3 linked regions of the Pelodiscus sinensis genome follow. The protein of the gene in region 3 interacts with the protein of the main gene of each other region in a biochemical or structural test. Links are inferred from orthologs where the notes say so. Each region holds a gene or a part of one and is shown on either strand. Other genes may lie near its edges.

Region 1 (7,409 bases), on a different chromosome or scaffold from region 3:
GCTCCTACCTATATATACACACAAACAAATCCTATATTTGGGGACAAGTAAAAAGCCCACTTTCTGAGTGATCTTCTCTCACTACAAGGTAGGAAATCTCCAGGACACTTTTTAGGGAGTATAAGGTCACAGCTGTTAAGAACATGTATGGCTCTGGAACCAATCAATAGATCTAATGAGAGCTAAGACACAATACTTGAAACACATGGGCTATGTCTACACTGCAGGCTTCTTGTGCAAGAACTGTTTTGCAGAAGAGTTCTTGTGCAAAAGGTCTTCCACAAGAGTGCATCCACACTGCCATGTGCTTTTGCGCAAGAGCATCCATGGCAGTGTGGACATTCTCTTGCGCAAGAAAGCTCTGATGGCCATTTTAACCATAGGGGCTTCTTGCGCAAGAAATTCATGTTACCTGTCTACACTGCCCTCTTGTGAAAGAGCTCTTGCGCAAGAGGGCTTATTCTTCGTAGGGAGAGGAATAACACTTCCGGAAGAAACCCTGTTTTCTGACGCTATACAGGCAATCCCCGGGTTACGTGGATCCGACTTATGTCGGATCCCTACTAACAAACGGGACCCTTCCCCCAGCAGACCGCCGAGACGCGACTCAGCAGTCCCACCGCCCGCGTCCTCCACGGCGAGAAAAGCTGCCCCCCCCCCCCGCCCCCAGCAGACCAGGGAGACGCAGAGCAAAGCCGTGGAGGATGCGGGGGGCTGCTGGGTTGGTCCCACAGCGCCGAGGTGCGGCACTACTGGACCAACCCAGCAGCACTCTAGCTGCTCTGCCCCAGGCGTCCCCAAGTCAGCCGCTGCTGAAACTGATCAGCGGCTGACTACAGGAAGCCCAGGGCAGAGCAGCTCTGCCTCGAGCTTCCTGTAGTCAGCCGCTGGTCAGTTTCAGCAGCGGCTGACTTGGGGACACCTGGGACAGAGCAGCTGGGGTGCTGCCGGGTTGGTCCAGTAGCGCCGTGGAGCGGCACTGCGGGACCAACCCGGCAGCGCCCCAGCTGCTCTGCCCCAGGCGTGTCTGATTCAGCCGCTGCTGGTCAGTTACAGCAGTGGCTGAATCTGGACGCCAGTTCCAACTTACATACAGATTCAACTTAAGAACAAACCTACAGTCCCTATCTTGTACGTAACCCGGGGACTGCCTGGACTGTAAATTTACTTGCGCAACAGCGCGCGTGCAGTGTAGCCAGCTAGCAAGTTTTTGCGCAAGAACGATTGTTCTCGTGCAAAGAGCGTGCAATGTAGACACAGCCATCACCTTACAGCTCTCGCAGAGAGGCATTTCACTTCTCTGAATCACTAGTGCATCTTCAGTCCCCCCCAGTCTGCCCCCCCCGCACGCTTCTCTGAATCACTAATGCATCTTCAGTCCCCCCCAGTCTGCCCCCCCCGGCACGCTTCTCTGAATCACTAGTGCATCTTCAGTCCCCCCCAGTCTGCCCCCCCCCGGCACGCTTCTCTGAATCACTAGTGCATCTTCAGTCCCCCCCAGTCTGCCCCCCCCCGGCACGCTTCTCTGAATCACTAGTGCATCTTCAGTCCCCCCCAGTCTGCCCCCCCCCGGCACGCTTCTCTGAATCACTAGTGCATCTTCAGTCCCCCCCAGTCTGCCCCCCCGGCACGCTTCTCTGAATCACTAGTGCATCTTCAGTCCCCCCCAGTCTGCCCCCCCCGCACGCTTCTCTGAATCACTAATGCATCTTCAGTCCCCCCCAGTCTGCCCCCCCCCCCGGCACGCTTCTCTGAATCACTAGTGCATCTTCAGTCCCCCCCAGTCTGCCCCCCCCGGCACGCTTCTCTGAATCACTAGTGCATCTTCAGTCCCCCCCAGTCTGCCCCCCCCCGGCACGCTTCTCTGAATCACTAGTGCATCTTCAGTCCCCCCCAGCCTGCCCCCCCCCGGCACGCTTCTCTGAATCACTAGTGCATCTTCAGTCCCCCCCAGTCTGCCCCCCCCGGCACGCTTCTCTGAATCACTAGTGCATCTTCAGTCCCCCCCCGGCCTGCCCCCCCCGGCACGCTTCTCTGAATCACTAGTGCATCTTCAGTCCCCCCCCCGGCCTGCCCCCCCCCCGGCACGCTTCTCTGAATCACTAGTGCATCTTCAGTCCCCCCCCCGGCCTGCCCCCCCCCCCGGCACGCTTCTCTGAATCACTAGTGCATCTTCAGTCCCCCCCCCGGCCTGCCCCCCCCCCGGCACGCTTCTCTGAATCACTAGTGCATCTTCAGTCCCCCCCCCAGTCTGCCCCCCCCCGGCACGCTTCTCTGAATCACTAGTGCATCTTCAGTCCCCCCCAGTCTGCCCCCCCCCCGGCACGCTTCTCTGAATCACTAGTGCATCTTCAGTCCCCCCCCGGCCTGCCCCCCCCCGGCACGCTAAGGGGGCGGGATCCCCACGGGAGACGGGAAGGAAGGGAACTCTGAGAGCGGCCAGAGGACAGGTCGCGCCCCGCCCACTGGAGCCCTCACCAACCCCGCGCCCCCGCCCCGTGCGCACCGACCGCCAACGGCCGGCCCGACAGCCCCGCCCCGCACAGCTGCCGTTGGCCGACAGGGGCCCGCGGCCTGCGCTCGGCGCGGAGGCTGCCGGGAGCCGGCGCGGCTCACCTCCTCGGCCTGCTTGCGCAGCGCCTTCTCGCGCTCGTACTGCGTGAGCAGCTGCTCGTTGTCCTCGCGCAGCAGCTCCAGCTCCACCTCGTGCTCCTGGTTGTCGGTCAGCACCGAGTCCAGGTTCTCCAGCACCGTCACCACCAGCGGCATCAGCTCCTTCACCACCTCCTCGTCGTAGCAGCGGATGAGCCGCTCGAACTCGCGGTAGATGCTGTTGGCCAGGCCCGAGACGCGCTCCGACATGACGGAGCCCGAGCAGTAATCGTCCCCCGGGTAGCCGCCCACGCCGCCATCGTCCAGCTGGATCTCCAGCATCCTGCCGCCGGACCGGACCGAGCGCCGCCGCCGAGCTGCTGAGGCGGCCGCCGGCTCCGCCCGGCCCCTCCCCTGCTGCGCCAATGGGCAGGCCCGGCCGGCGGCGCCGCCTCCCGCGCAGTGTCAGCGCGCGCCCGCCCGCACGGCGGGGGGAGGGGCGCTGGGAGGCACCGCCCGGGCTCGCGAGCGGAGCGCCCCTTCTTTAATTAGACCCGCCCGGCTCTTCGTTTGCGGGGTCGCTGCTCTAGCAACCGTGAGGCCTCTGCCCGCCCCACCCCCACACGCTGGCGGCGGGCCGCGCCTTCATATCGGCGTCCGCAATACACAGCGCGGGGCTAACGAGCTGCCAGCCCCAGGACCAGGCTCTACGCAGAGACGTATCGGAGAGCAGGGTGGGATGAGGAGACGGTATCAACTTCATCGCAGCTTAAGTGATGGATGGTCCCGGAAACGGACAATAGCACATTGAAAGCATTTTACAAATATACTTAGTCCTCAAAACCTTCCTGTGACGATCACTAGCTCCAGTTTACAGATAGAAAAACTGACAGGAAGATAAAGTGACTCCAACAAGGTTATAGAGGGGGTGTCAGAACCAAGATTAGAACAAAGGCGTTCCTGAGTCCTAACACTCCACTCTGTGTTCCTCCTCATCCTCTTTAGAGAATCATTGAATAATAAAACTGGATGGAATCTTGAGACGTCCCCAAGTCCAGTCCCCTGCACTTGCTATTGCAATTTATAGGGATTTATTGCTATTTTATCTGTCCACACATCTATACAAGCAATATAATCACAGGACCTAACCACATAAGCCACCACATCAGAGGCTCATACAACTACACATCCACCAATGTGATCTGTGCCATCAAGCACCAGCAATGCCCCTCTGCCGTGTGTATACTGGCAAAACTAGACAGTCTCTACAACAAAGGGCTAATGGGCACAAATCAGATATTTGAAATGGTAACACAGAAACCTGTTGGGGCATATTGTAACTTGCCCAGGCACTCATTAATGCAGTGTTACCCAAATGGTGTTCTGTGGAACCCCAGGGTTTCGCAAAGTGAAAATAAGGGTTCTGCAAGAAAATTCCATTACAATAACATTTTATGATTTTTAAAAAAATAATATTTAAGCATTTATGAATTTTATTGAAAACAATTTTCATTTGTTTCCCACGATAAGTGTCCCTGTGTAATGCCAGCTTAGCCAGAGAGTGGGGACGATGATGTCACTACTCAGCGTTGCACATGCAGTCAATCAATGGTGCAGTCACCTGTTATATACCACCATAAATCCCCATACTCACTCTCAGGAACCGTGGATCATGTGGGTGACTGAATACGAATATATTAGCGCCATATCGGACAAAGTCAAAGCTTCAGCTGTCAAACCAGTTGTGATTTTTGTTTTAAAATATGTGCAATTAAACTAAATGTCGATCTCATTACCTAGTTTAGCATTTGTTTATTATTCTTACTTATTTGTGGTCTACTTTTTCAGTTCCATATATAAGACTGTTATTGGGGGTTCCACAAAATTCTTTCAAGTCTAAAAGAGTTCCAGGGCCAAAATAAAATTGAGAAACTGTGCACTAATGGATCTAAAAGTACTACAAGAGGCCCCCAACTTGCAACACGACTGATTCCGAGGGAAGTGTTGCAAGTCGGGGGCATCATAACTCGAACTTGCATTTACAATAGGCATTGTGCGCCTTCATAAATGCGGGCCAGGGACATAAGTTGGGGGGTTCCGGCCCCTTCCGCACTTACAAAAATGGTTGTAAGTTCAGGGGTCAGAAGTCGGGCTGGGGCCTCTTGTATAAAGCAATTTCAAAAACCAGCTGGAGAAAGAAGCTGCAGAACTTGGTTTTGTTTACAAGTTTGACACCTGCAATCAAGGTCTGAACAAAGACCTGATCTGGATGGGCAGCTACATTCCGCACCCTAATGACATAAAAAGATAAGCATGAGTCCATTCTATTAGCCCCATTTAGCACGGACACTAATTGACAATATTTTTTCCTTTTTTTTTAAGAAGTGGGTTGTGCCCATGAAAGCTCATGATACCATCTACATTTTTTGTTACTCTCTAAGGTGCTGCAGAACTATTTTTTTATAGGAAACATATCATTGATGAAATAACATTGATGTGTTCCCTTGAGTAATGTAAAGTTGCCAAACTGGCTATCCACTGCCTGCCCTATCCCCACCTTACAGCGTCCAGTGCTGGGGTCAAGCTAGGGTGTGTGTGGCTGAAGCATTGCTGAGCTCCAGCTATTCTCAGCTGCAGAACAGCCCAGACCTTTTCAACAGAACATGAATTAGACCAGTCAACCAAATATGCCCCCAGCTAGACCCAGAATATTGGGGCATGCGACAACATAAAACCACCATCCCACTTAATCCCCATTCTTGCACTGATCTTAGCTCAACAAGAGGGAGAAATGAAGTCTCAGCTTTGCCCAGACTATTAGAATACCTCTTGATTTATAGGTGCTGAAGAATAGTATTATTCAAAGCTCACTGAAGCCAATGGAGTCTTTCCATTCAATCCAATGAATGCTGGATCAGGCCCTCAGATCCTTAGTTTACTAAGCTGTTGCTGGATTTCAGAACATTTGAAAACCCCACCTTATATAGAGAGCAGAGTGTGTAATATTCTCTGAAGAAATGTTAACCCTTTCCTAACACCATCGCAATGGAATTACCACATTCCATCTGGAACACCCAGCCCTACTTCTTGTAACCATTCTCTCTCTAGCCCCTACAACTGACTGAGTACATCATAGTTTTCCTTGTACAACCCCTTTCAGGGAAAGATAAATTGTAGTGTAAAAAAAAGGAAGAACTGGCAGAGCTATACTAACCATCCTGCTTTAAAAATAGAATCATAGAAGATTAGGGCTGGAAGAAACCTCAAGAAGTGATTTAGTCTAACCCCCCAAAGTAGGAACAACCCCACCAATGTTCCCTCTAATTTTTCCATCCATGAGTGGAGTAAATTATGTTATATGCATCAAGGCATGTGCAGATGTGCACCACCAATAGATACACATGCTGTCAGCAATCGGTGCTCTGCTAATCAGCTAGGTGGCATGCAACTCTCTCCCAAGTAGATGCCCAAGTGCTCATTTTACAGGAAACACTTAACCCTACCTAAATCATCCCAGCCAGGGCTATGATAAGCCTCGCCTTAAAAACCTCTAAGAATGGAGATTTTACCACCTCCCTACGTAATCCAATCCAGTGTTTCACCACCCTCCCAGTGAAATAATTGTTCCTAATATCCAACTGTGATGGAGCCCCCAGCACCCCGCACTACACGGCAGCTGGGGGAAGTGCTTGTCAGCGAACGTGCCGCCAGGAGCGCCAGGGACGAGACGCAGGACTCTGAGGCGGCGGAACGCCTGGCGTCTTGCGCTGCTCGCCGGCTGAGGGAAGCACTCGGCGGCAAGTGTACCACTGAGAATGCCGGACCCCAGCAGTCTTGCACGGCATGCACCGGTGACGCCATGAACCCAGTGGGGGCGGGGGTCAGGTGACGTCAGTGAGGAACACCGGGGGGCGGGGCCACCGGATGCAGCTGCACTCAACGGTAATTCAAACAGCGGCCAGACCCCACAGAAGGGGAGGAGGAGAGTTGAACGCAGCAAGGGGAGGAGGAAGGCGCCGCGCGGAGGGTCGCCACAAACTCCAAAACCAGATGGACTAGACACTGACTGGTGCTGGACCAGGTGCCTCAGCGGAGAGGAGGACGTGGCCCAAGACCGGGTCTGGAGACGATGGGACATCATTAGAAACCACAGGGGTTGGTGAGTTACGGGGAAGCTCCCCACCAACCAGACAGCAAAGCCTATTCGCTGCCTTTAGGGTCCTGGGTCGGGACCCGGAGCGGGGGCAGGCCCGGGACCCCCTCCATCTCCGCTAACGCCGGGCCAGGTGAGTCCCGCCAGACGCGGGGGACTCTGTTAGACTACTAGCGAACTGTTAACAGGAGGAGTTTGGAAAGGGGGGAAGCACGGGGTTTAGCAAGGGTTGTAAGGGTGGCCAACCACAGGTGCCCCTGATGATGATAGGGCTGTAAGCCTGAGGGGGAACCCGCCACGTAACACCAACCTAGTTCTCCCCTATCCCCCCCACAACTTGAGCACACTGCTTCTTGTTCTGTTCTCTGCCACCACTGAGAATAGCTTAGCTCCATCCTCCTTGGAACCCCACTCATGGCTCCCCTCATGGACTGGCTCCACCTACCACCCCATGCTGCTGCCTCTGATACAGAGGCAGCAGTGCAGGGTTGCAGGGGGCTTCCCATCAGTGGGGCCAGGAGTTCACTGGCTGCCGGCCCCGCACTCGGAGAGTATTTTATAACCATGTAACCAATAAAACTTTTTACAGCTACATGATTAGTAAAACAAATGTTATCTAACATCCCTATTAAAAGCTTCAGGGGATGGCCGAGTTAGTCTGTAC
Region 2 (7,708 bases), on a different chromosome or scaffold from region 3:
AAACAGGGAACTCATGCAAGTTTATGATATTCCTTAGCCATTCTGAAGGGCTGTATCTACATTGGTGCAATCTTGCGCAAAAGCAATTGCTTTTGCGCCAAAACTTGCTGCCTGTCTACACTGGCTGCGAGTTCTTGCACAAGAACACTGATGTTCTAATGTATGAAATCAGTGCTTCTTGCACAAGAACTATGATGCTACTGCTCAGGAATAAGCCCTCTCGTGCAAGTGTTCTTGCACAAGAGGCCAGTGTAGACAGGCAACATGAATTTCTTGCACAAGAAAGCCCTATGGTTAAAATGGCCATCAGAGCTTTCTTGTGCAAGAGAGTGTCTACACTGGCATGGGTGCTCTTGTGCAAAAGCACATCTCTTGCACAAAGGAACATGCCAGTGTAGATGCTCTCTTCTGGAAGAGTTTTTGCACAAGAACTCTTCCGCAAAAGAGTTCTTGCGCAAAATCATGCCAGTGTAGACGTAGCCAAGATGTATACCCAGTGAGAACAGATTGGTTATAACAGAAAAACAGGTGGACTGTTTTTATAAACCGGGGGTGGGAGGAGGGATGGGCCAGCTATTGTGAGGGTACCTTAATTCTATTTTGGGGTAACACCCTAAGGGACAACCTTGTACCAAAGTGCCCTCAAGTTTAGAGCTCTGGGAATGGTGTGTTTCTGGGAATCGGGGGAAGGGAGAGGAGGGACAGTGTAGTCTTGGGACCTAGGCAGCTGAATGATAAGGTTCTACTCTCAGAAGGGAGTGATAAATGGAGACTCTGAAGAGAGACCCAAAACAATAGGCAATCCCTTGGCTCTGCTTAGACTCTGCAAGTGAAAAGCACGTTGGTCCAGTGTTGGGATCCAAAATAGCCCAGTGTGTGCCCACCAGGGAAGCTTGACTAAGGCTATCGCAGAACCCACTAACTTGACAGGCATCCAGGAGAGGTGTTTTTCTGTAGAGATAGGCTGAGGAGGTGGTCTGAATCTGGATCTTGGTTAGGTATAGACCAGGTTTGGGATTATGGACAGAATCAAATGGCTTGAGTTCAGTGCTGTCAAACTCTGACAACCTGTCCTCATGAGTTTTTTACTCCAAAACATGGACATTTGATTTTACCAAATAGTCTCGTGAAGTTTCCTTCATCCTGAAAATGGATCTGGAAAAAAGGTCTTTTCCAGCTTTGGAGTCAACCAAAGCTTCTTTAATTTGGATTCAGATTTCAAATCTGCATAATGCCTGTCCCACCTTACACCCAGGAAAATCAAAGGGATTCAGATTTGTCAGTTAAATTCTATGGACACATCTTTGATCAGTGAAGATACTTAAAATGGCATTGTTTTGTTGACTCACCAGATAGCTTGGGTTGCAATGACAGCTGAGGTATTTCTGATTGAGAGATTGTCAGTGGAATAGGAAAAACTAAGAGGATTTCACAAGGGTCGAAATGGGGAAAAATCATTTTAAAATCTTATATAGTTTCTGAATGCCTGCCCACATTAGGGGACCACATTGATTATTGGACCTCTTCAGAACTCAGTGTCTAAATATATTGCCAGAAAGTCTGATTCTTTCATCTGCTTTACCCTGGTAATTTGTCTCTGAAACTTAATTTCTCTCTCTCACTTCCCTTGCACCCACTTTGCTTTCCTTTTCCATAGGATATTTTAATTGGCAAACTTTGGATTCCTTTGACCTCAGTCTGAACATTGCACTGGTTACCTACCAGGAGCCTTAGGGTTGATCCTAATTTGCATACTATGGGGCAGGTTGCAGCTGCCCTCACAGTTAACTTGGAAGTAAAGAAAGTAGAGACTTACAGATATAAGGTGTCAGGCTCTGTGTTACACTAGGACCTTGTGCTTCACTTAGTGATTTATGGCTTCCATTCCCAGATATGATTGTGTTTTCCACTTGATGCTGCTCGCACTAACACATGATTAGTTTTGAGGGAACAGGACTGTTAGGAAACTATCTAAAAAGAGAAATTCCATAAGTTAGTCATCACCACAGGATTTTTTTTTTTACTGAATGTTTATTCTTTTTGGTGCTGGAGCCTCAACGGATGACACTCCTTTCACAGTTGGTACTGACACAATGCCCTGGCACGAAGTTTGGGAGTCCTGGGATGATGACAAGTATCAGAAGGGTAGCTGTGTTAGTCTGAATCTGCAAAAGCGGCAAGGAGTCCTGTGGCACCTTATAGACTAACTGAAGTGTAGGAGCATAAGCTTTCGTGGGCAAAGACCCACTTTGTCAGATGCAAGATGATGAATGAGCTGTCCATTGCATGAGATGCACAACCAATTCCCTGACCATTTGTGGGGCATGACATGGTCCCCTAGCACCTTTGGAATACTCAGTGCAGGGAGCAGTACATGGTAGCATGGTAGCATGGATATTTATCTCACAGGTAACAGCGCTGACCTCACTCACTATATTGTCTCATTTTCCATGTATAAAAGTGTAAGTAGAACTGAGCAGAGGTTTCATTTATTAGTTTTTCACTGGGAAGTGCTGAGTGGGAGAAATCAAAATGTTTCCCTGAACTTTATAATTGAGTGTGAAATTGAGAGAGAGACCTCCATCTTGGCATAACCAATAACCAAGTAGGGCATTCACCTGGGCTGTCAAAAACCTTGTTTCAAGTCACTGCTCTTCTGTATTGAAAGCAGGGACTTGACCCTTGTTCCCTAGATACTGACTGTGTTGGAGTGTTGATTTCTCTTTGTGCTCCCCTTCCCCAATGAAAAATCTTGGATTTGTTCTGCAGTGGGTTGGAAATGAATGCTGAAATCTTCATCTTTGGAAATTATTATTTTCCAGATAAGCTTGTACGGCACATAAATGCTTGACTTTTATAAGTAGTTGATCCAGATTGTCTCTTCTGATTTTATAGTCTGAGTCTGTATATAATCCGGACCATACAGATTATCCCTAGAACATTTTGTATGGATGGAAAAATATATTTCTAACATTTGTAAACAGACTGGTTGTGCAGTTTCTATATATAAAAATGAAATTTTCACAGTTTATAGTCATGCAAATTGTTTGCTGGCTGTATCCAAAGAAGGAAAATTCAGACTTATTCCCACCAATCAGCTCCAATGATGGTAGCAGTCGTGGTGACTGTATTTCAGAGATAACTCAGGCATTTCCACCACCCTGTCAGTGTTACCTAAAACTACTTAGTGAAATGACACCATGATAAAAAGGGTGTGAGTCTTGTCTAAACTATAACTTCCACTGGTGACTGAATTATGGAGTTTAATGTTTCCTAAATAAGATCACTCATAGCAAGTGCAACTGGAGAGATGGGAGCTGACATGCGTTAGTAGTCAACAGAGACAGCTTTTAAAGGCACTTAATTTTTAGGAGTAGGCTTAGCTCCTGGTTAGGTGCTCTTTAAACATTCTCTCATCACTGGCTGACCATGTCCAAGTGAATCAAGGTGTCTAGTGCTGTCTGGGTCTGTTTGTATGCTGTTGCAAACACTTTTTGTGCGAGGCAATGGGGTGTGTTACAAGCATTGCTGATGCTCTGGATGCTAGAATTCTCTGCAATAGGGAAACCTCTAGTGTCCTAGTCAAATTCTAGTCTTGTTAATTACCTTGCAGTTACCTGAATTCCCCTGTATCTTCAATTCGATACAGTATCTAAAACCATTGTGTAGTGTTGCTCAGCCCTGTGAAACATTAACCAGGCTTTGCTCTAGCGCTGGCTGCTTTCCAGTGGTGGGTGAAGTGCTTCCTTATGTATGTGTAATGTTTATAAAATATTTTTGGAACAGATTGACTTAAAATTACCCCAGCTGTGATAATCCCATCGTTTCAGTATCAAACTCCATAACAGGAAAGTGACTGATATAGCCAACGGCTGGAAAGGCAGCCAAAGTGGGGCGCCAGGCTTTTTAAAACCAATTGGCAAAGGCAAGTTTTGAAACGCGATGTTGTGTGACGCAGCTTTGTACACGGACTTATTAAATGGTGTTTGGTAAAGTCCTCTCCCATTCGTTTGTTAAGGTCTCTGCCATCCCAGGCACACTGGCTTACTGCTTGGAACCCCTGCTGGCAGGCTGCTACAGTGGCAGGCAGCACTGTTGTCCCTATGCCCGCTTCAATCTTTATTACCCGTTTAACAACAATAATCGCACAGACCCCGTCTGTCGTGGTTAAGATCCAACCAAGGTCACGGGGCTCCCTGCTGGGGGAGATGCGGGCGAGGGACGGGGCTCGGCGTGGTGTTGATAGACACTCTCCGAGAGCCTGCTGCCGGAGGTATGCGCTGCTATTTGATTGCCTCCTGCCGTACTGGGCAGGGCTCCGGAGTTGCATGGGTGCCGAAGCCAACAGCGTGAGCTGGAGAAGTTTGGCCAATGCCTCTGGCGTGACAGGAGGCCTCCCTCCCTGCCTGGGGGACCCCGGCAGGGCTGCAGCGGGGGACGCTGCGGAGCCTGAGCAGCGAGTGCGGGGATGCAGCACCGGACCTGGAAGCTGGCTCTCCGCGCTCATCACCCGCAGCTCCAGCCCGCGTGGGCTCGGACCCAGCCTTTGCCTTTTCCAGCGTGCCGGGGAGCCCCAGCGGGGCAGCTGGAGCTGATGCTGGATCGGGCTCCCTTTCCCCCTCCCCCGTCTTTTGGCTAAGGGCAGCTTACGTGAGAAGGGGGATGAACAGGAACAAATCCACCTGCCGGCGCGGCGGGCTGGGTGGAAGAAGCTGCCGCGAGAGTAGGGGAGAGAAGCAGGACTGGAGACAGGGAAGCGAGTGAGGCGGGACGGCTGGGGGGCGAGCGAGCCCCATTGACAGTCCAGCCTAGGAAAGGGTTAAGGACACGCCGCTGGCTCAGTGGACATGTAAATACAGAACAGCTGCTCCTCTCCGGCTCCGGCCGGCTCCTCCAACCGTCTGATTGGCTGCCAATGACATCACCCCTGCCCCTCCTGTGTTATACCAACAGCGGACCTGAAGCTACGTCGGATAAACCATCCCCAAGCGGCGGGGAGCTCAGGTCCCCGCCTCCTTCCACTCTCCCACCTCCAGCCATTGGCCCCCCGGCGCTGGAAGCACGCCCACTTCCTGGAAAGAGCCCCTATTGGGCGCGGACACCGTCTGTCCCGCCCCTTTCGAACCTTACATTTACAGTGTAGCAAAAGAGAAAGTAACTCTGTTGCCGCTGGAGATCAATGAAGCCGCGTGAATGGGGGCTTAGCGTAGAACTCTGTAGCCACAGATGAGCGCCAGATGCTGAAGGGATCTACTTATTTATGAAGTAAGTGAAAGGCTATGCTTATAGTGATAGGGGAGGGCAGCGGGTCTATAGCTGCATCGAAGTAGCACCTATAAGATACCTAGTAACGGAGAAGGACATACTTTCATCTGTACGCAATGCTACTTTTGGAGGGGTCGGTGTAGGAAGCTTGGCCAACAGTGTTGTGCTTCTACTGCCTCTGATTGCAACCTCTGTTATTTCTAGTGAGTGTTGGTGGGATGGGAGAAAAGGCTTTTCTCGTCTTGGGATTGCTGCAGTGTGTCGGGAGGGGGAAAAGGTGAGGGACTAGAGTGCTCGGAGGGCTTTCCTTGCATCTTCTTCCTTGGCTTTATCGCTCCACCCCAGACACACACTTCATTTTCGTATGGTCCTGGGTGAAGAGAAAGTGGCGGCGAACGGTCCTATACAGGGCAGTGCTAGTTCTATTCTGACTTCATGGTTTTGCTGGAAATATACAACCCTCTGCTGCATAGATGCAGACCTTCCAAAACTGCATATTTTCTTGTCTCTAGAAGGAAAACAATCATCTGTACTTGGGATCAAATCCTATGACGTGTTTTTGTAACATTACTGGTTTATATGTTTATTTGCCTTTTATTTTTAATTGTGTTGCTGTTTTTTCTTTACAAGCAGAAGGATATTGCTTTTCAGTTTTCTGTTGGGTGCTGGTTTTCTAAAGGGGGGGAGAAGGGATAGGCTAGGCAATCTACTGGGTCATTTTGCAAAGGTTGATCTGTCTCTACCCTACAATATAATTTTCTGCTATGTGAGTCCATGCTGATTTTCATCTGTGGATGGTAAACATTTTTTCCTTGTTCAGCTATTTTCAAATTCACCTAGTAAAGAGATTTTTAAAGAAAATAAGAGTGGAGGGCCTGCCTTGGGATAGCTCCTTAGTGTAAAAAAGGATACTATAATAGGGATTGTAGACTGGGATGATATAATTGGACGGAGAAAAACTGATTTTAGGAGTGTTTGGTCGCTTCTAGTTAGAGTTATTTAATCTGTTAGCTGGTTGATGGAATGTATTTTGAAGAGGAGCTTCCAATGCTCTGAAGGTGGGTTTTGTTTTGGTGTGGTTTTTTTTGTTTGTTTTTTTTTTGGCAGGGAGAAATGCTTCTAATTTTATATAGTGTCTCTTGGTAAAGCTTGTGAAGATCACAATTTAGGGGCTGCAGAAGGGGCCTTTATTCCTGGAGTCTCCAAAACTGTTCTGAGGAGCAGAGGGTGCTTCTGCCTCTAGGATTGCTCAAGCTTCCAGGCTTTATTTTTATTTTTATTAGAATTGTACTAGCATCTGGAAAAGGGAGATGCAGTTGGGATGCAGGTTTGTGTCTTTCACAACAATCTCTGGCATCTTCTACCTCCTTGTTACGTCTGTGTGAAATTAAGTTTTCAAATGGATTTCTCAAGGGTTTATTCTAAAGCTAGTTTTATTCAGGCTTGCTAGAAAAGTTGTACATCTTCCTGTGACATATTTGGCTGCTATGCATTCTATAAGTTGTTGAGCCATGCCAATAGTTCTGTCCCTTGCTGTAAGCAGAGGAAACGAAAGAACATGCCTTCTTATTGCCCTTATCAGTTGCATGCTTTGCAGCCCAAAGATTTCAGAATAACTCCGCATCTGCATGTAAATGAATGTCTCCTCTTAACTGTGTCTAGGCCAATTGCATATTCTGCATTCTCTTTGAGTACAGGATAAGAGTTGAAGCTTTTGCTGCAGGACCTGGTGCCTTCATAAATTGCACTGAGCTGATCCCCCTGAAAATCACTGATGAGTATTGAAAACTGCTTTTAGAAATCTCTGGCTCTGTATGTTTAATGTGATCCTTTTTTCTTTTTCCCTTTGCAGACAGATCTTGAGTTCTTCTTGACTTGCCAATTCTCAGCCTCCTCATGCCTCCATCTCCTTTAGACGACAGGGTAGTAGTGGCACTTTCAAGGCCAGTAAGACCTCAGGATCTCAACCTTTGTTTAGACTCTAGCTACCTTGAATCTGCTTCTTCTGCCAGTGAGAGTTGCACAAGTCTCCTTGGTACAGCTGTTGTGTCCTTAAAGGCTGCTAATCTCCCGTATATGCCCTCATCCAACGGCTCTGCACGCTCCTTGAGTTGTGGCTGCAGCAGCACCAGTTGCTGCACTGTGGCAACTTACGACAAGGACAATCAGGCCCAAACTCAAGCAAGCACCAGTAGCACCACCAACGTAGGAACCTCTACCACTTGCCCTGCTAACCAAATGGTCAACAACAATGAGAACACGGGCACACTGAATCCATCAGGTGGAGTGGGAAGTCCGGCCTCAGGAACAACCAAGCAACTAGCCAGCATAAAAATAATCTACCCTAATGACCTGGCTAAAAAGATGACCAAATGCAACAAGAGCCACCAACAGAGCCAAGGGCCTGTCATCATTGACTGCAGGCCGTTCATGGAGTACAATA
Region 3 (7,849 bases):
CTCTGATGTAATGTACAAGAGCCATAGGCAGCTCTCGTACATTTCAAAGGGACAGGCGCAGTGGGATAGCCAGCATCCCCCTTATTGACTAATTGAGTCGTCAATGGAAATTCCATCGACGACTCAATTAGTTGATTAATTGAAATTTAACATCTCTAGCCCACAGATGTTGAGACCACAGAAGAGAGAATCCCAGATTTGAGAGATGCAACCTGTAGTCAATAAGAAACAAGGTAATATGGTTTTCAGTGCACACAGGAGTCACGTTTACCAAATAAAATGCTGCAGTTTTTTCTATAGTCTTTTTAAAGTCTATAATCTTATTCCGAAAGATTCACATTTCCAACATTTCAGATCTCCGTTGTCCATTCCTCCACTCTACTCCCCGCAGTTCAGATATAAATTGATATTTCAAGGTTAAATTAAATTTAACCAATAAAAAAAACTTGCTCAGAAATGGGAGTCAATCATTCTACAGTACCCAATTGCAAAGACAGAAACAAAAACTCCAATACATTTAGTGGGAGAACCAGGACACTCAGAAAGCTCCATTTGGGCGACAGAGTCAGTTATTGAGTTTTTGTGTATGTGAATGTGTATCAAATACAATCTATGGTCATCAGATCTCATTCTTGTCTGATACTTTTCAGAGACCTTCTCCAAAAGCCAAACTCAATGCCTGGACATTTCATCCACTACCACAGGTATGTTCCCTAATCACCCACTCCCTACACATGTGAATCAGATCTCACTGATTAGCGTACAAGAAATGAGAATGGACATCAAACTAAGAAGTGTACAATTAAAATCCAGCACTAGCAAAGAGTAGCAATAAGTTCACTCTACTAGTACAGGACTGTGCTTGTGAAGAAAACAGTTTCACACACATACACATAGAGGGAAAGTGTATTGCTCTATACATGAGAACTGTGGTGTCCTAGCCACACTCAACGGGGCAAATAGCCACATGTGGCTAGCAGCTAGCATGTTGGACACCACGACATTAGAACTTACTTGATAGAAACATTGAAAAGTGCCACTGGATTCATATACAAGAAAAATAATTTAAGATGGCTGCCTCCATGGACTGAGGTCAAAACAGAAGCATAGGCCTATTTGAATTTCATCAGCTATGCCTTTGTTATTATATATTCTTCATTACGGAATGTACAATATGAAGGGTCTGAAAAGTCACTGAACTCACTTTTAATTAGTACTCTTAGCTAAATGTGACCCTATCTCCCTTCAGGTAACAATCTGATTTAATTCTAAATTAACTCAATATTTGACAGTGCACCAATTTATGCAAACAAAATAAAACATGCTACAAAACAATGTTTTACGCCTCTGATTAATCCAAAGAAGAATGAATTTGCCTGCAATTCTGAAAATTAAACTAGTTTTTCAGTGAATTCATCACAGGCCTTTACCAATAGTCATCTCCAAACCTTTAAATAAAACTAAGTTGCAATACAAGAAGTTGCAGAACTTACCCTAGAGCAACTAATTTCTTTACATAGGTGGGTAAAACATTGTTTGTGTTTACATCATTAGAGTCAGGCAAAGTGAGCAGATATGCTACCAGGGCTGGAAAAATGTTTATAATAATTTTGCAAGGCTCCCTCTATATAACACTGAAATTCAACAAAACAGTATAAACCCAACTATGGTACTATAATTGAGAAGAAAGAAGGCTCATGGGATTCACATTTGCAGCTTATTAACAGAGACCATTTAACGGGCTCTTGCACTTTGCATTGATAAAACCATGGCATTAAAAAATGTGAAAAAAAAATCTGAAGCTTGAAGAGTCAAATCTGACACTAAAGTACTCATAAAAAAGAGAAACTAGAGGAGGGCAACAGAAAAACTGCAAACATTTCAGTTATTTCTGACAAAAATTATGAGGCTTAAAATGCAGATTTTCAGAAGAGACAAAAATATTGCCAGACTTCCTAAGCAGCTGTCTTTGGAGGTCAAATATCCCAGAAGAACAAAAAGGCATTTTTCAAAAGCAGTCATTTGGAATTTTGTTACAGATCTCATTCACTTCAAACTGCTACATTCTCCAGCAACTCAAACCTCTTTTTCCTGAAAAGCTTACAATAAAATACAAGTAAATTTGGAGAAAAATAATCTAGTTTATCAATAAATGGTGATGAAAACCAAAAAGATATTTTCATTGATAATAATAAAAACATACAGCTATGCCAAGTCAGAAAAACTTATTAGAGTTTGACTTAAGGACGTGTATTTTGTATATTCTGGCATGATGTTGACAATTTGTGTTTTAATGACTATTTAACTTGTTTAATCTCAGCGCTGACTGTCATTCTATTCTTGTCTGACCAGCCCCCCTTATTTTCCATCTCTGTGAACACTGACAGACTGAAAACACAGTTTCAAATAAAACTGATATTTGTCAGAATTATTTTTAAAACAATGAAAATCAAGTTGTGCCAAGCGGCCCTGCAGGGGAGATATTGCAAGAGGAGAGGAAACCCTGCCACAGCTTGGGAACCCTGGCTGGTGAGGAGCAGAGCCCCTCTCTGGTGATGCCAGCCCAACAAAGAGACAGCCCCCCCCCCCGGCCCCCCCCCTGCAGCCAGGCCCCCCCACGGGAACCAGGGCAACGCGCGGGGGCAAAGCAGCCACCTGCTACCGTGCACAAGAGGGGCAGGGCGCTGCACGGGGGGGGGGGGGGGGGGCGGGCCCGGGACCCCGCTCCCCCCCCCACGGGACCATTGCACCGACCCACTTCTGCCACCCCTCCCCCCCCGGGACCATTCCACCGACCCCCGCCCCTCCCCCCACAACCGCCAACTGTGACTGCCGCCCCTCCCCCACTAGCCCCGCCGCCCCCGCCCAGCGCCGAGCCGAACCGGGCCGGGCCGCCCGGCGCCGACACAGGCCGCGGCCCCGCACTCACCGCCCCGCCGCTCAGCAACGAGCCGGAGCCGGAGCCGGGCCGCGCGCACAGACGCAGCGCCCCGCCCGCCCCGCCCCCTGCGCCGCCGGCCGCGCGAGCGTCCCCCCCCCCCCGGACCTGCGCGGCTCCCAGCCCCCCCCCCGTCAGAGCCCCCCCGCCCCGTGTGCCCCCCGCAACCCCCCCCGCGTGCCCCCCCGTCAGAGCCCCCCCGCCCCGTGTGCCCCCCGCAACCCCCCCGTGCGCCCCCCGTCAGAGCCCCCCCGCCCCGTGTGCCCCCCGCAACCCCCTCGTGCGCCCCCCCGTCAGAGCCCCCCCGCCCCGTGTGCCCCCCGCAACCCCCCCGCAACCCCCCCGTCAGAGCCCCCCGCCCCGTGTGCCCCCCCGCAACCCCCCCGTGCGCCCCCCCGTCAGAGCCCCCCGCCCCGTGTGCCCCCCGCAACCCCCCCGTGCGCCCCCCCGTCAGAGCCCCCCGCCCCGTGTGCCCCCCGCAACCCCCCCGCGTGCCCCCCCGTCAGAGCCCCCCCGCCCCGTGTGCCCCCCGCAACCCCCCCGTGCGCCCCCCGTCAGAGCCCCCCCGCCCCGTGTGCCCCCCGCAACCCCCCCGTGCGCCCCCCCGTCAGAGCCCCCCGCCCCGTGTGCCCCCCGCAACCCCCCCGTGCGCCCCCCCGTCAGAGCCCCCCGCCCCGTGTGCCCCCCCGCAACCCCCCCGTGCGCCCCCCCGTCAGAGCCCCCCGCCCCGTGTGCCCCCCGCAACCCCCCCGTGCGCCCCCCCGTCAGAGCCCCCCGCCCCGTGTGCCCCCCGCAACCCCCCCGTGCGCCCCCCCGTCAGAGCCCCCCGCCCCGTGTGCCCCCCGCAACCCCCCCGTGCGCCCCCCCGTCAGAGCCCCCCGCCCCGTGTGCCCCCCCGCAACCCCCCCGTGCGCCCCCCCGTCAGAGCCCCCCGCCCCGTGTGCCCCCCCGCAACCCCCCCGTGCGCCCCCCCGTCAGAGCCCCCCGCCCCGTGTGCCCCCCGCAACCCCCCCGTGCGCCCCCCCGTCAGAGCCCCCCGCCCCGTGTGCCCCCCGCAACCCCCCCGTGCGCCCCCCCGTCAGAGCCCCCCGCCCCGTGTGCCCCCCGCAACCCCCCCGTGCGCCCCCCCGTCAGAGCCCCCCGCCCCGTGTGCCCCCCCGCAACCCCCCCGTGCGCCCCCCCGTCAGAGCCCCCCGCCCCGTGTGCCCCCCCGCAACCCCCCCGTGCGCCCCCCCGTCAGAGCCCCCCGCCCCGTGTGCCCCCCCGCAACCCCCCCGTGCGCCCCCCCGTCAGAGCCCCCCGCCCCGTGCGCCCCCCCGCAACCCCCCCGTGCGCCCCCCCGTCAGAGCCCCCCGCCCCGTGTGCCCCCCCGCAACCCCCCCGTGCGCCCCCCCGTCAGAGCCCCCCGCCCCGTGCGCCCCCCCGCAACCCCTCCGTGTGCCCCCCCGCAGCCCGCCCCCCCGCCCCGTGTGCCCCCCCGCAACCGCCCCCGTGTGCCCCCCCCGTGTGCCTCGCGCAGCCCCCCCGCGGACCCCTCCGCACAGCCCTCTCGTCTGAGCCCCCCCCGCGCAGCACCCCGCCCCGTGTGCCCCCCCCGCCGACCCTCCCCGCCCCGTGTGCCCCCACGCAGCGCTCTCGTCAGAGCCCCCCGCCTGCGTGCCCCTTGTCAGAGCCCCCCCCCCGGCAGCCCCTCCGCCCCATGTGCCCCCTGACAGCCCCCCCCCCCCGCAGCCCTCCCACGTGTGACCCGCAACCCATGTGCCCACTGCCCCCTGTGCTCCCTTTCAGAGCCTCCCACCCTGGGCAGCCCCCCCGCCCCGTGTGCCCGTATCTGAGCCTCCACACCTGTGTGCCCCTCCCCTGTCAGAGCCCCCCGCCCGTGTGCCCCCATCTGCGGAGCCCTCCACCCTGTTCTCTCCGTGAGAGCCCCCCACCCCGTGTGCTCTCCTGGACAGCCCCCCACTCCATCTGGCTCCTGACAGAGCCTCCTACCCAGTACAGCTCCTGGGCAGGTCCCCCCCTACTCTGTTTGCCCCCCGCCTGCCTCCTGGACGGCACCTATTCTGTTCCATTTGTCCACCTATACTTCCCTGTTCCTGCGCTGCTCTGTGCAGCCTGAGACAGCCCCTCCGCCCCAGCTCCGTGTGCCCCCAACAAAGCTAGAACAGACTCCACTGGTTCCTTGCGCCACCCTTCATCTCTGTGCCCCTCCCTGCATGGTCCCCCTCTACCTTTTCAGACATACCCCTGCGATGTTGTGTGTCCACTAGGACAGACCCGGGCTCCTTGTGCCCCACCATGACTCTACTCCCTGCTCTCTAAGTTCTCCCCACTGTACAACCCTATGACACCAGCTCCTTTCCCCCCCTCCCTCCTTCCATGCCCTCGTGGGATACCCCCAGGACCTCAGTGTCATATGCCCCCAACAGGGACCCGTCCCCCATCTCCATGTGCCTGTCAGTCCCCACTGCTAAGTAGTCCTTCCCCAATAAGGACCAGCCCATAGGGTGACCATCTCTTGTGGGATGGAAATAAGGAAAAACCACATGATAGATAAGGGACAACCCTTTATTTTAAGGGATGTTTTAGGGAAACACCTTTCCCTATAGCAAAGTAGGTATGGCATGTGTACATTTCAACTGTCCTCAGACATACAGTGCAGTCGTCATAAGTTTGTTTAAAATAGTACTTGCCTGTTTTAAAACATTTCAGCACATCTTTGGGGTTTGTTTGTTAATTCATAAAGCTCTTTAACAGTCCAACTGAAATTAATGTTAATTTGAAGTTCAGCTTTAACAGTGTCAATATTTAGCGGGTTTCTGCAGTTTTTCTATACCTGGATAACAAGTAAAATGTTCTTTCCACTGCTGCAATTGAGGTAGGAATAAAAGTAATAAATTCCACACATTTTAAAAAATTGGAAGGAGAATGATTAGGGTACCGTGTTTCAAAGCCCCATCCTTTCCCCTGTACACAGTACTTGTTTCAATGAAACATAATAGAAGAGCCATGTGGTTAGGCTTTTGGTACTTAGTCATGAATGTACCTTTCCAGAAGTTTTCTAAATTTTTCCTAGCATTTCCTTACTTGTGTTACAAGTGCAAAAACCAAAGGGATGAGGTGGAAAAACATCTGAATATTAATATGTTTTAACGCAGCGTCTCAAATATGAAGCAACATCCATGATTTTTATTTTAGGCGCACAATTCAGCACAATTTTGAATTTTTATTTTTAGCTTTGGAATTAGTTTTTGTTAAAATTCCATGTTTCTTCAGTCTGAATTCTACCCTGAAAACAAGCTTCAATCAACATTTACACGACTTAATACTGCTCTGTACAGATGAGATTCGGCCTTCCCTTGTGTATGACAAATTAATGAAATAAGGGACTTAAAGAATGTTCCTTAAAGAAAAGGTAAAAATAGCTATAGCGGCCCATTTTGCACAGTACAGCCGCTCCCCGAGTTGTAAACGGTTGAGTTACGACCGTTCGCACTTACGACCAAAGCTCCCATGGAGCGGTCGTAAAGGTGGTCCCCGAGATACGAACGCGATCCGCGCTTATGAACAGCGCGATCACGTGTAACTCAATGGGGTCCGAGTTACGAACAGCTCGAGTTACGGACCAAGTGTTGATCCGTAACTTGTTCGTAACTCAGAGAGTGGCTGTATCCTGTCTTCTGACAGTAGCCAGTGTCAGATGCCCCAGAAGGAATGAACAGAACAGGCACTCCTACCAGACTCCTCCCCTGCCAACCTCAGTGTGTCCTGAACAGAGACCAGTCCCCAGCTCTGTGTGCTCCCAGACAGCCAGACCCCAGAACACTGTGCCAGCCCAGAAACTAGGCCCACTCATATCTCCCCACTATGTGCCATAGGGACTGGGGCCTGCTCAATTTTATGTGGCCCCCCCTTAAGAACGAAGGTGCCACCAGCATATTGTGCACATCCATCATCCTTCTGGGTTTAGTTCCAGTTCAGTGTATACAATCTCTCCTTCAGCACTCAACGGCTACGTCTAGACTGGCATGATTTTCCGCAAATGCTTTTAACGGAAAAGAGCGTCTAGATTGGCACGGACGCTTTTCCATTTTCGCAATCGGGGCTGTTTTGCGCAAAACAAATCTGAGCTGTCTACACTGGCCCTTTTGCCCGAACGGGAGCAGCATAGTATTTCCTCAAGAAGCACTGATTTCAGACAGTAGGAAGTCAGTGCTTTTGCGGAAATTCAAGCGGCCAGTGTAGACAGCTGGCAAGTTTTTCTGCAAAAGCAGCTGCTTTTGCAGAAAAACTTGCCGGTCTAGACACAGCCAACAAGGGTATGTCCAGACTACATGCCTCTGTCAGCCGAGGCATGTAGAATAGGCTACCCGACATAGTCAATGAAGCAGCTTCCGTCCCCACGTCTTGACTGCCCTGCTGTGCTGACAATCAGCTGATCCAGCACTGCATGGTGGCCATTTTTATTTTAATGAAGCCGGGGATATTTAAATCCCCACTTCACTGACTATGTCGGGTAGCCTATTTTACATGCCTCTGCCGACAGAGGCATGTAGTCTAGACGTACCCCAAGGGTCCAGGCTCTCTGCCCAGTTCACTGTGTCTGTGCCCCACAAGGACTGGCACCACCAGTTCAGTGTGTTTCTCTCTGCCCCTCCCAAGCTCTGCTCCTTTGCCCTGGAACCTACTGCTGGCCCCCAAATGTCCATGGCCAGCTACACCCTGAGTCTGGGAGCTGCACTTGGCACATTCCAGTCATCTGGTAAGGCACTTCCCCATCACAGGAGCTGTGGCTCTGGCATTTAGAAACAGTACATTTCCTGAGGCCCTTGCCTTCAGCCTGTTCATCCAGAGCTTTGGCTTACAGCCATGGAACATATGCATCCGCTTGTCCAGTGCCTCTCTGCCTTC

What was found. The genes of interacting proteins can lie anywhere in the genome.
Region 1: the proteins of MAPK8 (region 3) and MAPK8IP3 form a complex in vitro, tested with the Homo sapiens proteins (3 studies listed by BioGRID, with this or other methods). The link is inferred for Pelodiscus sinensis from reciprocal best matches to the Homo sapiens genes MAPK8 and MAPK8IP3.
Region 2: the proteins of MAPK8 (region 3) and DUSP10 form a complex in vitro, tested with the Homo sapiens proteins (2 studies listed by BioGRID, with this or other methods). The link is inferred for Pelodiscus sinensis from reciprocal best matches to the Homo sapiens genes MAPK8 and DUSP10.

What each region holds. Positions count from the first base shown.
Region 1 is NC_134726.1:612,561-619,969, forward strand, and holds the start of MAPK8IP3 (C-Jun-amino-terminal kinase-interacting protein 3), read right to left. Parts: upstream 3,017-7,409; 5' UTR 2,935-3,016; coding exon 2,617-2,934; intron 1-2,616.
Region 2 is NC_134713.1:154,040,735-154,048,442, reverse strand, and holds the start of DUSP10 (dual specificity protein phosphatase 10), read left to right. Parts: upstream 1-4,692; 5' UTR 4,693-5,265; intron 5,266-7,117; 5' UTR 7,118-7,161; coding exon 7,162-7,708. UniProt on the Homo sapiens protein: Protein phosphatase involved in the inactivation of MAP kinases. Has a specificity for the MAPK11/MAPK12/MAPK13/MAPK14 subfamily. It preferably dephosphorylates p38.
Region 3 is NC_134718.1:5,444,625-5,452,473, reverse strand, and holds the start of MAPK8 (mitogen-activated protein kinase 8), read right to left. Parts: upstream 3,015-7,849; 5' UTR 2,930-3,014; intron 1-2,929. UniProt on the Homo sapiens protein: Serine/threonine-protein kinase involved in various processes such as cell proliferation, differentiation, migration, transformation and programmed cell death.